Drosophila melanogaster: one gene and its partners. The protein of the gene in region 3 interacts with the protein of the main gene of each other region in a pairwise test. Each region holds a gene or a part of one and is shown on either strand. Other genes may lie near its edges.

Region 1 (4,837 bases), on a different chromosome or scaffold from region 3:
AGTTGGGACAGCGGTACAAGGCCAAGATCGACAGGCTTGTGGAACGTTTGATGGACTATGGCGAAAGATCGACGACTAGTAGTCCTGGCGACTTTTTAACTCTGGCCCATGGAGATCTTTGGACCACCAACTTTATGTTCCAGTACGATGCAAAAGAGCATCCCACGAATGCCATCTTCATTGACTTCCAGTTCAGCGTGTGGAACTCGCCGGCCATCGATCTCCACTACTTCTTCTCCACCTCGTTGCAGGATAATCTTCGCTTGGAACATCAAACAGAATTGGTTCAGTTTTATTACTATAGGCTGACGGAGGCCCTAAGGAAGTTAAAATATGCTGGTCGGATACCCAGCTTGTTCGACTTCCAACTGCAGTTCCGCTCGAGAGGATTCTATGGTGGGTACAGTTCTTAACTCTCTTTCAAAATAGTTTTTTAAATAATTTATCCGCAGCCGTATTCTGTTCCTTGATTTTTGAGCCTGTCATGCAGTACGAGGGCAAAGAGGATGCTTCTATTGAGCAGGTCCTATCCAGTTCCGAGAGTGGAATGCGATTCAAGAACTCAGTTTATGAATCGGAAAATATAAAAAAGAAATTAAGTGTCACACTGCCTTTTCTGGATCAGTTTGGATTGCTGGATGACATGTAATGATAATCTTGAACTTGTGTAAATAGTTAAAATAAATAAAAGTTTAAGTACTACTACGTATTGGCTCAACTACGTCGTTGCTTTTAATTTCCTGGGAAAATACTTATCTAATAGCTTGATTGCACTTTATGTGTGTAATTCGGCAATAACTGACCTTTTTATATGAAATACAGTGTTCATGACTGATAATAGCGCTTTCGAGTTTATTTCGGCAAGATAGTGCTAAACTCTTGACAAACAAAAGGTGCAAGCAATACTAAAAATCTCAGAAGATAACAATTACAAGCCCTTGAATCGTGGTGAAATAGAAACAATCGCGATACGCCAAAAGATAAGCCGCAGATGTTTTAGCTAATAAAAGAAACTAATATTTACCTACAACAAATAAATACGAATACGAATGTATTTAACAAGTCAAGGTGTACTACTGAGGAAAAAACTTGTAAGTGAATTGTTGCGTCCCCCTTATAACTCATACGCACCGTTGGCCCGCTTATCGTTTGCTTTAAAACGTCACATTTAATATAGTTTTATGAATACAAACATTTACAATAGAACCATTGTGTGTTCTATTTCTAATCTTATTGCTTACCAACTTGCAATAAAAATGAACTGCTTTTCATATGGTTTTAACTTCAAAATAAAATTTGTTTTTATTTTTTATCAAATACTCGTAGTATATGATGGCTTCCATTCAGTCAATTACGTCTAGTAGACCACTCCGATCGAAGCGTGGCAGCTCGCGTTTGAGATTGTCCTGCAACCTCTTGTTGGTGTACAATACCTTCCGGAAGTTACGGCCTCGTTCGTCATCCTTCATCAAAGCATTAAAGTCGGCATCGGCGTTTTGGTCATTGGTCAATATGGCCTGGCAGACCAGAGCGACTGTGACAGCTGTTAGATACAATAATATAAACAATTATAATGGGTTTTTGAAAATCATTCCAGATGGGACTCACCAAAGAATCTGCCCCTTTCGAGCTGCAGGACGAACTGCCTCAATGTGGGAATGTAGCCACCAAAGTTGAGATCCTTAAGCGTTTCCACGAGCACCGTGTGATAATACTGAAACAGGGCATCCTGCTGTTCGTAGCGAATATCGACCTGCACCGAAGTGTTGAAGAAGTAGTGCAGATCCACCGCCGGCGAGGACCAACTGCAGAATTGGAAGTCGATGAGAGTCATGTCCAGTGGCTCCTTATTTTCGCCGTAGCGCAACATCACATTGTTCACCCAGTAGTCACCGTGCACCAATGTATTAAAATCTCCCGGTTGGGGATCGTAAACTCTTGTGGAGTACTCCATTACACGTTCCTGCAGCTTCTTCAATTTGGTAGCATACCGCTCACCCAATTCGGGACACTCCCTGGCAAAGTCAGCCGCCACGCCCACCGTATTCACAAAGAAGGGTGCAAAGGCCTGGGTGTGGCGATTGAAGATGCCGTGATCGAACTTGGTCAGCAATCCGGGTTGACGTTCGTTCAGAACAGCAGCGGCCGCATGCATCTTGGCCAGCTTTCGGAGTCCCAAGCGGGTGTGCTCCAGATCGAAACCAACCAGACGATCGGCCAGGACATATTTCGTCACCGCAAGGTCCTCAAAGATGATGGCCTCGTGCTCGTAGTCCACATGCAATGTCTTGGCGAAAACCTTTTCCGGCTGGCGAGTCTTCTCGATGAGCGAGCTCAATTGGGGCAGGATCTTCTCGTACATACGCATTTCCGTGGTGCTAACCTGGTACTGGGAAAATATTCCAGAGGCGAAGGCATCGTTCTCATAGGTGGTCTTCACAATATAGTATTCAGTCTCGGGGCTTTTGGCGCCACTTTTCAAGAACAAAATCCGCACGCGTGTCATCACACTAGCATAATTGTCACCCTTGGCAGTGGCGGGCTTGATCACCAAATCGGTGATCCTCAGTCCCGGATCATTCTTCAAATCCCGGAGCAGTCGCTCCAAGTAGGTTTCATCTAGCCACTCTGGCGCCGGATGAAATTCGGTAGCGTCTTCCTTGCCCTGCTCCACCATGATGATGCTCGACTTGTGTTCTGGATCACTTGGTCCAGTCGAAGGCCCCATTTATAGGCAGCCGGAAGACGCAATCTCGCCGACAACAGATCCCACATTATGGTAGCCGTAAAGCAAGCTGGCTCAGACAATTACGTAGCTGCTGCCCGTGGATTTCGATTCATACGACAGAGATTCGTGAGTATCTAAAGCTGACTAGATAGAAGCAGATCTCGGAGCGCGACACTTGACAGGGTGAGATAACACCCCCACATCTCGCAAATCGGTGCACGTTCCTATATATGATGTAAGTGTGCCCGCCGTAATTCATGCCGAATGGTGCTGACGTGGCGTCTAAAGATCGCTCTCGTGCTCGCGTCAAACTAATCTACTTCACAGCCCATAAATCCATCTGCCGTCCATCCATTTGCATAGTTGAGCCGGATAGTTAAGCTATTTACAGACTTACAATGGTTTCGTTTTTTATTTCCTAGTATTTAACGTTCTACGTATTTATAATAATCAGTCGGAAACTTTGAATTTCACAAGGATTTTCGAAACAGAATAGCCCAGAAGGAAAATAGTTAAACAAGTTTTCAAGTGCCAAGATAATGGGTAGAGGAGATAAGATTTCCCCTGCATACTTTCAGGTGTAGCCGATAACAATCTTGAATGTACATTTGTATATATGTCGGGTCTTCCTTTATCTAGCAACAGAATTTTTATTTTCATCTGTTCGAGGATTTACGATCTGTTTATTTTCAAGAGGAGCTTTGAATACGGCACTGCCTACTTTTGAGCGAATACCTTTTCTGTTTTCCTGCTGAATGTATTCTGTAACATACCTTCCAACTTGAGAATTTCTTTGATGGTCAACTTATTAGGTACGCATATCCGTTTTCTTTCTTTTCTCATTAATAAATTAAAAATTGTGATATTGTCAATTGGAGATAATGCACCTAAATAAATAAAAAACGATCCATTACATATGTCAGATTCAAAACATGTCTTACATATTCTCTTTAATTTTTTTTAGGAACGATACATTATTTTGCTTTTTGATTTTATACCAAAAATTATTATGACCCACTTATGAGAACACAAGTGTTATTCTTATCTCAATGTTTTAAAAATAGCTTATACGACATGTTGGCCATTTTATGTCTCAGATCAAAAATGTCCCAACCGTATTGCACTAGTCCCTTGAATTTTGGAAAGTCAAATATCCCATAACAGAGATAAACATTTAATTTAAAATGAGATTGTTTATTATTATTTAAACTTATAGACATAAAACGTGGAAGCCCAATAAAACATATCCTAATAATCTCTTAACAGGTCTGGTTAACTTCCAGCAGTCCCTTTCTATCGAAGAAGGGAACCAGGGAATGTAAATTTTGTTGAACTGTAGGGTTGTTATATAATCGGTTCTTAAACCGAATGCCACGCTCATCATCGTTCATCAAGGCATTGAAACAGGCATCCGTGGGATCCTGGCTAATCATAACTGGCTGCACCACTACCGTAGAATGCAAAGCTATAAAGAATATACAATTATTTAAAAAGAAATTACATTTTGTGATTAAATATACCACCTACCAAAGAATCTCTTTTGCTCCACCTCCAATTTAAACTGATGCAAACTGGGAATCTGATTTTGACGATAGTTGAGCTTTTCTAACGTCTCAGTGAATATCTTGTGGTAGAACTGGAAGAGCCCGTTCTGCTGATCTCTACGCAGTGGCTCCTTTAGAGAAGTATTGAACAGGTGATGGAGATCGATGCATGGGGAGCCCCAGAAGGAGTACTGGAAGTCAATGAGCAGCACATCGACGGGTCGTCCCGTATTCGGATCGTACTTGAACATCACATTGTTGGTCCACACATCGCCATGGGCCAGAACATTAACTTGACCCGGAGTGGGTGCAAAGCACTCCCTGCCGATGTCCATGTAGTGCGGAGCCAAAGCGAATAGCTTCTCTCCGTAGTGGGCCAACGTGGGCACCTTGCTCATCCAGCGAGCGGCGGCCAGCAGACCACCCACAAAGTAGCCACTGTAGGCGTTTGTATAGCGATTAAAGAAACCACGATCGTAACTTTCGAGGCATCCACTTTGTCGCTCGTTCAAGACCGCTGTGGCGGCATGGAATTTGGCCAACTTGCGCAGGATGAGGTGAGTGT
Region 2 (4,396 bases), on a different chromosome or scaffold from region 3:
GCAGTAATTGCGCTAACTGGCCATTCGGGCCTTATAAAACAATTCAAGTTCAGTTGGTCCAAGAGCCACGCTTGTCTGATTGGAAACGGCAAGGGGGGTGGCCTCCAATCAGATGCGTGTGAGTGCGTGAATGTAAAATCAGTTGGGTGAAACCCCTTTTCAGCGACGCCACTGTGGCCCGTTGACCGCGAGCAGCAGCTTTTTGGTATCAAAAGAAGACGACCTTCATTCAGTGTTTTGGTTGTTTGACACTAGACAAGTGTCAGCGAGCACCGAAGCTAGAAAATTCTGATAAGCCAAATGGCGGGGGGAGCGTTGGGATTACGATGCAGATTGGTAAACTGCAGGCTGTTTTTTAGTTGCCATTGCCAGTTGTTGTCGATTCACGGCTAATGACGCAGTTACGTATGCGATTGGCAGCACAACAACAAGACGGCACAGCACTTACCCTTTGCCCACACACTGTATTTGGGGCCCAGCAGGATAATCCGCCGCACCATGCTCATGGTGGCTGCTGCCCGCCGCCTCTGTGCCTCTGTTCCGTCTACCGCTTCCTCCGCGCCCGCTGCAGTTGCTCCTGGACTCGGATTCCCCTGCGCCCCTGCTTTGCACCGATTTGCTACTCAGCTGGCGGCCGCTTCTTCTTCTTGCTCTGCTGATCTGCAAAGTTATTGTTGTGACTTCTGCTGGGGATGCCTCGCTTTGCAGGGATTGCTTTTCTATATCCACTTGTTGGTTATCCGTCGCTCGCCAAAGTGCGTCGCAATTTGGATGATTTTCCGCCTGCCTTGCTGTATTTTCGGTGGAAAATGGGGGGAATAGATTGCGCTCTGCACGTAATTTTTGTGGCTGTGTGCGTGCGTGTGATTCTCGTTGTTTTGGCTGCCCCACTCGCTCTGCTTCTTCTTGCCAAATCGGTCACTATACTGTATTAAAAGATCCACAAATTTCTAGGGTCTCCAGCATTATCTGATCCACTTTTTGTCTCTTGTAAGTACTCGGAAAATCTGGAAAAATCGCAGCAATCCAACTAAACGATTACGATATCAATCGATTGTTGTTATCGGTCTCAGCTGTTCGCCGTTCTTCTTCTTGCCAATCTTTGGTGAAGCCGCGCAACGCACAGTGGAACACAAAGTGACACAAAGTGGACAAAAACGAGGAGCCAAATAGTGTGGCTTGGAACTGGGAATTTAGCTGTCTACTGGAATTTTGACTGTGTCGAGGCCGGAAAAGTAAATTTCTAACACGAAAGTATAAAAACGTAAATTTCAGAAAGATCACTTTTTTTCTAAAGCATTCTGAGTTGAATTTCAACGTGGCATACATTTACACTACTTTACACTTAAGGGCTATAGTAAGCATAGTTAATAGCCGGGTATGATGCGACCCCTCTTGCTGGCCGTCTTTAGTTTCCGGTTCTTCTTGTCCTTGCTGCGCTTCTCCAGGTTCTCCTGTCGCTTCTTTTGCCTCTTTTCCTTGTCGTGCTCCACCTTCTGCTTGCGTTCAGTCCACTTGGTCTTGGACTTCTTCTTCTCCACGCGCCGCTTCTTGATGGCCTTTTGCAGCAGCTTGGTGTCGTCCTTGACCTTCTTGCCCTCGACCTTGTCGAATGCGTTGCGCCAGGCGATGTCCGTCTGGATCTCCGCCGCCTTGTCCGTTTCGCCCTGTTCGCGCAGTTCGGTTAGGTGCTTCTTGGTGTCGCGCAGCTTCTTCAGAATCTCCTTGGGGTTTTGGTGAGACTTCTTGGCTTTGCCTCCAGGATTGGCGGCAAAGTCCACCTTGGAGTAGACGATCTTGGCCTCCTGGTTGTAAACCGGTTGCACCTTGACCGGCTGGATCTGTTCCTTGCTGTCCTCCGTCTCCTGTTCTGATTTCACCACGCCATTCTTCAGTTTCTGGTGCTTGACGTTCTCGTTTTTGAGGTTTTTGGCCGAGGAGAGGAGCAGTTTCTGGACGCCCTTGCTGCGTTTAAGCTTTTTAGATTCGCGTCGCTTCTGCTGTCGCTCCGTTGTGGGTCCCTTTTTCTGGCGCAGCTTGTTCTTGATGGAGGCAATGCGTGCCTCTACATCCTCGTCGTCGGAGTCTTGGTTTTTCAGTTTTCCCTGTTGTTTCTTTTTCTTGTTTCCCGATTCCTCCGTGTCCGACAGCAGGTACTCTTCGTAGGTCTCCTCATCTGTAGGAAATACGATAAAGTTAAAGATTTAAGGCTTTTCATTAATGGTTTCACCTTCTTGTTTGGAGTAGGGCACTTTGTGAATGGTCAGCAGTTCCAAGACTCGCTGATAGAACTTTTTGGTGATGGCGGGCAGGTCCTCCTTCTCCGGCTTCTGATCCTTGTTGTGTTCGATTTCATACTCCTCCCGCAGACATTTCACGATCTCCGCCTGGGTCATTTTCGAGAGTAAAATAACAATAAAACTATTATTTACGCACGCACACGTGCAGCTAAGCAAGGCGGTCGAGTTCAGTGTGACCCCACAGAATTCGGGTGTTTTCGACAGTGGTTACCCTAGCGCAAATGTCTGGTACCGCTACAAGTAGTAAGGGGTATTCCCCTATTCAGCGAATTTAAGCAATGGTTTCAGATTAAAGGAGATTGAAATTTAATAAACATTAATTAACCATTGCTTAAATTCATAATTCTAGCCTAAGCTCTGAGAAATCTCAACAGGCATTTATCAAACAGTGTTACCAAATACGAACTTTCGAAAAAGGCGCTCTCCAGCCTTTTGTCATTTCCCAGCGCTCCCGCTGCGGTCACACCCGCCTCACTTTTCCGTAAAACATCGTTGAAGAATGACTAATTTGCCTGTTTTAAGTATTTACTCAATGCCCAGCTAATTGCACATCGCAAACAAACACACAGCAGTTCAGTTCAAGTTGGAGACGCGAGCGGCACCAGCGAATCAGCCAAGATGAAGAGGCAGTTTGCCAAAATCAAAATAGCAGCCGAAAATCTGTCAAGGTAAGTTCAAAGGCCAGCCAGTCTGTCGGTCGGATGTCTGTGGGTGTGTGTTTGTGTAAGTGCGCTCCAGGTGGACAGACAGGTGTGTGTTGCCTCATCACGAAAGAAGCAACAGCAGCAGCAGCAACAACAACAAAAGCAGCAGAGAAGCAGCCACAGAGCAACTGCATCAATAACAAAGCGCGATGACAGCCGTAACAATAGTGGACTGCCGATGATGACCTAACCCGTGCTAAACCCGTGTCAAAATGGTCCTTTTCGCATTCGCAGATCGAGCAAGTCGGACAGCAAGGACTCGGAGCTGGAGGCGATCGAGCGGCAGGTGGACAGATACCGGGACACCATCGAGAAGATCGTCCGCAAGCTGCCGGCGCTGAGCGGCGGAGGCGGAAGTGGAAGCGGGAGCAGCGAGGAGCAGGACAAGCGGACCAAGAAGAACAGTCACTACAAGATTGCCCAGGCTCTGGACGAGTCCGCCAAGGAGCTGCCCAAGGACATGCCGCTGCAGAAGGTCCTCGCCAATTGCGGTTAGTAATCGGGCAACCGGGATTTCCAGTGAGGCAGGCAGTTGCGTAGGCGGTCATTCGCCAGAGGGGGAAGTTACAGAATTTGTTCTTCATCAAGTGATTATATTGATATTGCTTTAGGTACCTAGCTTATCATAGTTTGTTAGCATGTTAGCTTAAACATCCATATGATGTTTCTTACAATCTGAAAATAGTTCCCAGCTGAGAGCCCCTCCTTGCAGCGGCAATCAGCCATGCCTACGGCCCTGGTGGGTGTCATGTTGTCGCTGCTGATAAGGCGCACAGTGGTTGTCGTTCGCTCCAAATCCGATAATCGCCGCCAGACATGCACAATGGCACACGAACACGAGTACGGGTTCGCAGGGGGCTTGGAGAACACACTACAGTGGATGACTGTGTCACGGGCTTCGGTTTGTCTGTGTGTATTGGCGGCCTCGCCTTGTCGCTTGGCCTTGTGGCATTTACATTTCTCAACTGCAAACGGCAACATCAACATCGACATCCACATCGACGGCGTTTTTTAATCATTATTATAATTTTTATTATGACTTTTTCGCCGCTTTCTTTCGCAGCCCGTTCGCCCGCAGTATTGGTATTGGTTATTATTTGCGGTTTCGGCATTGTCTATTTATACACCTTTTTGTTTTGCCAGCCAAGTTAGCCCGCCCCCATTGGCGCCCGTTTTTATTGCCCTGCTTCCATACAATTCACTGCCCGATTCACTATGCATTTCATTTAAATTTGTTACACATCGCGCGCGAAGTGGCATAACAAAGCCCGGTAAACGGCGATAATTATGCTAGCTGCTTGGCTAGCTGTGGCTAGTAAAAGTAAAAGTCTGGGCCAAATTCATACATCATCGTATCGTCATGATCTCTTCTTCGCTGTTCATTTATTATTA
Region 3 (5,041 bases):
CCAGCAACCAGAGAATTGTCGCTGCCTTGGATAGTATCAAGTTGGCCCTTTCCAAGAAAGCCAAGTCGGTGGTGCTGATGTCCCACTTGGGTCGTCCCGATGGCAACAAGAACATCAAGTACACCCTGGCACCCGTGGCCGCTGAGCTGAAGACCCTGCTTGGCCAGGATGTGATCTTCCTAAGTGACTGCGTCGGCAGCGAAGTGGAGGCCGCTTGCAAGGATCCCGCACCGGGATCCGTCATTCTGCTGGAGAACGTCCGCTTCTACGTGGAGGAGGAGGGCAAGGGCTTGGATGCCAGCGGCGGCAAGGTCAAGGCCGATCCTGCCAAGGTCAAGGAGTTCCGTGCCAGCCTGGCCAAGCTGGGCGATGTCTATGTCAACGACGCCTTCGGCACTGCCCATCGCGCCCACAGTTCCATGATGGGCGATGGCTTCGAGCAGCGCGCAGCTGGTCTGTTGCTGAACAAGGAGCTGAAGTACTTCTCGCAGGCCCTGGACAAGCCACCAAATCCCTTCCTGGCAATTCTCGGTGGCGCCAAGGTGGCCGACAAGATCCAGCTGATTGAGAACCTTCTGGACAAGGTCAACGAGATGATCATCGGTGGCGGCATGGCCTTCACCTTCCTGAAGGTCCTCAACAACATGAAGATCGGCGGTTCCCTGTTCGACGAGGAGGGCTCCAAGATCGTCGAGAAACTGGTGGAGAAGGCCAAGAAGAATAACGTGCAGTTGCATCTGCCAGTGGACTTTGTCTGCGGCGACAAGTTCGCCGAGAACGCTGCCGTCAGCGAGGCCACCGTGGAGGCCGGAATTCCCGATGGACACATGGGTCTGGATGTGGGTCCCAAGACCCGTGAGCTCTTCGCGGCACCCATCGCACGCGCCAAGCTCATCGTGTGGAACGGGTAGGTGTCACACTGAAGCTACTTCTCCAAATGTCCTATAATGGTTTTCCCATTTTAGACCCCCCGGTGTCTTTGAGTTCCCCAACTTCGCCAACGGCACCAAGTCCATCATGGACGGCGTGGTGGCCGCCACCAAGAACGGCACCGTCTCCATCATCGGCGGCGGCGACACTGCCTCTTGCTGCGCCAAGTGGAACACGGAGGCACTCGTCTCGCACGTCTCCACCGGAGGCGGCGCTTCGCTGGAGCTCCTGGAGGGCAAGACACTGCCAGGCGTGGCTGCATTGACCAGCGCCTAAGCGTACATATATACGGTATATTAATGTTAATCGCATCGTTTACCTTGTAAGCACAAACCACGACGTTAAAAAGTGTTGAATCTATTTGTTGCGGAACCATATAATGCATACGAAATAAAGGAATCCTAGTTTATTTGCGGGCAAAGTTGCTGTCCATTGAGGAGGCGGTGCGCTGTATGTTGTTGAGATTGGCCCGGATGCGATCGCCAATTGAGTTATGGTTGGCAATGGCCTTCTTCACCTCCTTGTTAATGAACTCCTTGTCGAAGTCTCGTTCACGATTTTGGGCCTCCTCGCGCGCGTATGCTTCTCGGTGCTTGCGAACCACCTGGCTGCGATCCGCTTCTCTCCAAGTGGCGTTGTCCATCATTTCGCGCAGGCGAGCTTCTCGGTCGGCTTCGCTTAACTTTGGCTTGCCGGTGGGACGGCTGGGAGGCGGTCTTTCGGCAATCCTTCGCTTGTCATCTCCTTTGGAACTTCGGCTCCTGCTGCGTTTTGATCTGGAACGCTCTTCAGGTGTCCTACTCCTGCGTTTCTCGCGCTGCTTTGAAGTGTCCTTGCTTTGACGTCTGGCTTTTCTGTCCTCTGGGCTCCTGGTTCTTCTCTGTCTTCTCGCTAAGGGACTTCTGCTCCTGCTCCTGCGCCTTTCCCTTCTCTCTTCTGGACTCCTTTGCCTTTGCCTTTGTTCCGGACTTCTACTCTGTCGCTTTTTTCTATCCCGGGGGCTTCTACTCCTGCGTCTTTCTCGCTGATTTCTGTCCTCTGAGCTGTGGCTCCTTTTGTGCTTTCTCCTTGGCTCTTCCTCTTCGTCACTACTTTCGTCACTGCTATCGCTGCTTTTCTTCTTCTTGGATTTCTTGCTCTTTTTCTTCTTGGTGGCCATGTCTAATTGATTTGAAATGGTGCGGTACTTGGCGTCCAGCAGCTTGTCCAGTTTAAGGTCACCTTGGTCTCCCTTGAGTTTGCTCACTTGGCGGGCTAATTTTCTGTCCAAGTCATCGTCGCTATCATTGCTCTCGCTGTCACTACTTTCCTCATTGCTGGATCGTCGGTTCTTCTTCTTCTTTTTGGATTTCTTAGACTTTTTGTTCTTCTTGTTCTTCTTCTTTCCCTCTGCGGCCTTTTGTTCCTGTTCAGTCTTGAGAATGCGATGGATTTCCTTCAGCTTGACGGGGTTCTCAAGCAGCTTTCGACGGGATTCCATTTCGCGCTGCTTGATGAGCATCAGGGGATCCTCGAGGGTCTTGCGCTGTATGTCCACCTGTTCGTTGGACTGCACATTGCGGTAGGTCCGGATGGAGAAGGGCACACAGTCGTGCTCCACATGGTTGATCGTTTGCTTGAGACCCACTGTGTTCTGCTCCTGGCGGCTTTCCTCCGCTTGCAGCGTCTCAAAGGACTTGTCGATCTTACGGCCCAGGAGGTACTCCTCGCGGTTGATCAGCTCTGTGCTGTCTGGAGCAAGATAAATATGTATGGATAATGAGTTTTATAAGAGTTTCACATGTATGACTCACTTTTGTACATCCACTCCAGCTTGGCCTCGCCGGCGGCTCCGCCATTATTGCTCAGCACTCCGGAACTTTCGCCCAATCGCCTTAGTTCCTCTCTGTCCCGCTCCTCGTTGATCTCCTTGCGCAGATCCTGCAGCTTGCGCTCCTCCATCTTCGCTTGCTCCTCCGCCTTCCAAACGCGCTCCTGGTTTTTCATCGTGTGCGGATGCCATGATTTCTTCAGATTCTGCGGGAAAAATCAATGGTAATTGACGGATAATCAGTTGGGAGACATTACTTACTAGATCTCCGCCACCCATCTTGGGTTTGATTTGCGTTTTAACAGCAAAACAAACAAATTACAAACAATTCCAGATTTTCCCTCCTTTTCTGTTGTTTTCAACAAAATCATATGTTCGCCCGGGCTGCCAGATCGTGGTGAAGTAATTTAACTTGGTGTTGCCATAGGGTTACATTTTTCTTTTACTTTTTCGAAAATTATTGAAAATAGTTAATTTAGTTACTTATTTTCATAATTACTTCCTCATCGTGCATTGTATTTTCAGTCAAAAACAGGTAATAAATTTATTTAATATGCTTCCAATTCGGCAGAGTTTATACCAAAGAGCTCAAACTCGATTTACAAAATTAAGATTTCCAAGATTTTTTAGCAAAGACGATTGCAATGGAAAGCAAGTAAAGAAGTTGAGCTTAAAAAATGTAGATGTGGCTGGGAAAAGGGTTTTTATGAGGTGAGTATCCTTGCCAGATATGTTTTAGTGTGTGATTTATAAATTTATTTTTAGAGTGGACTTTAATGTACCCATGAAAGATGGCAAAATAACCAACAACCAACGAATTGTTTCCGCACTTCCCAGTATTAAATATGCCTTGGACAAGAAATGTAAGTCCTTGGTGAGTTGATATATCTTCCTTCAATTCCTAAAAAGTATAGAACGAATAACTTAATTTTTTGCCTAGGTTTTGGCATCCCACTTGGGGCGTCCGGATGGCAAAAAGAACAAAAAGTTTAGCCTGGAACCCGTGGCCAAGGAGCTGGAGAGTGTGCTGGGCCAGCCGGTTCAATTCCTGGACGACTGCGTGGGTGATAGCACCCTGAGAGCTTTGAAGGATCCCTCCGACGGCACTGTGTTCCTGTTGGAGAATCTTCGTTTCTATGCCGAGGAGACGGGCAGCAGCAAGGACGATAACAAGAAGAAGGTCAAAGCAGATCCCGCGAAGGTGAAGGAATTCCGAGCCAAGTTGGCGCAGCTGGGCGAGATCTATGTGAACGATGCCTTTGGAACAGCACATCGTCCGCATAGTTCCATGATGGGCGATGGCTACAAGGTGCGAGCGGCTGGTTTCCTGCTGGACAAGGAACTGGAGTACTTTGCCAAGGTTCTCCACGATCCGGCCAAGCCCTTTTTGGCCATTCTGGGTGGCGCCAAGATAGCCGATAAAATTCCACTGATAACGAACCTCCTGAACAATGTAACGGCCATGATCATATCCGGTGGCATGGCCTTCACCTTTCTCAAAGTGCTCAATGGCATGGAGATTGGAAAGTCCCTCTTCGACGAGAAGGGATCCGAGTTGGTCAACGACATAGTCTGCAAGGCGAAGGAGAAGGACGTGAATATACTATTTCCGATTGACTTTGTCATAGCCAATAAGATCGACAAGGAGCCGGATAAAGTGGAACATGTGGATGCCACACAGGGCATACCGGAGGACATGATGGGTCTGGACCACGGCCAGGCATCCAGTCAGATGTTTGCTGGCGCTATTTGTGCATCCAAAACCATCGTCTGGAACGGACCGCCAGGCTTGTTCGAAAACGAGCTATTCTCCAAAGGCACCGAGTCCATGCTGGAGGCAGTAATCGGGGCCACTAACCGAGGAGCCACCACAATCGTTGGTGGTGGGGATACGGCCACCGCTTGCTTGAAGTTCGGAGGCGCCGACAAGGTCTCGCATGTGTCCACCGGTGGAGGAGCTTCCCTGGAGTTGCTGGAGGGTAAGGTTCTGCCTGGAGTGGCTGCTCTTTCGGATGCCTAAACGCACTGCTTTACAATGGTTATTCCACTTATATGTACATGTATCTTAAATTCAATTTGGACAATTTAAACAATCAGTCTCTCAAAATACAAAGTTATTTTTATTGTGGAATAACATTAGTCGGTTAAAACGTGATAAAAGGGCGGGCCTCGATCTCGTGCAGCACTACTTTCCAACTATCTTTTTACCTCCATAGATTTGGTCTAAACTTAAAATTTATCATGTTCCTCTTTCTCGCAACAAAAACTTTTGAAATAGTAACTAATAACCGCGTTCAACTA

The links. The genes of interacting proteins can lie anywhere in the genome.
Region 1: the proteins of Cwc25 (region 3) and CG10513 interact in a two-hybrid assay, tested with the Drosophila melanogaster proteins (one large-scale study listed by BioGRID).
Region 2: the proteins of Cwc25 (region 3) and Surf6 interact in a two-hybrid assay, tested with the Drosophila melanogaster proteins (one large-scale study listed by BioGRID).

What each region holds. Positions count from the first base shown.
Region 1 is NT_033777.3:25,274,518-25,279,354, forward strand, and holds CG10513 (uncharacterized protein), read right to left. Parts: upstream 2,696-4,837; 5' UTR 2,678-2,695; coding exon 1,609-2,677; intron 1,544-1,608; coding exon 1,344-1,543; 3' UTR 1,273-1,343; downstream 1-1,272. Other genes in the region: CG11878 (uncharacterized protein), read left to right, coding at 1-396, 453-649; CG10514 (uncharacterized protein), read right to left, coding at 3,988-4,193, 4,256-4,837.
Region 2 is NT_033777.3:19,902,393-19,906,788, forward strand, and holds Surf6 (surfeit 6), read right to left. Parts: upstream 2,477-4,396; 5' UTR 2,397-2,476; coding exon 2,231-2,396; intron 2,177-2,230; coding exon 1,368-2,176; 3' UTR 1,273-1,367; downstream 1-1,272. Other genes in the region: ClpX (caseinolytic protease chaperone subunit), read right to left, coding at 449-506; RhoGAP92B (Rho GTPase activating protein at 92B), read left to right, coding at 2,919-2,968, 3,239-3,495. UniProt on the Drosophila melanogaster protein: Involved in a nucleolar function.
Region 3 is NT_033779.5:2,743,177-2,748,217, reverse strand, and holds Cwc25 (Cwc25), read right to left. Parts: upstream 3,121-5,041; 5' UTR 3,020-3,120; coding exon 3,002-3,019; intron 2,947-3,001; coding exon 2,724-2,946; intron 2,662-2,723; coding exon 1,337-2,661; 3' UTR 1,274-1,336; downstream 1-1,273. Other genes in the region: Pgk (phosphoglycerate kinase), read left to right, coding at 1-907, 966-1,206; CG9961 (uncharacterized protein), read left to right, coding at 3,294-3,451, 3,506-3,614, 3,681-4,760.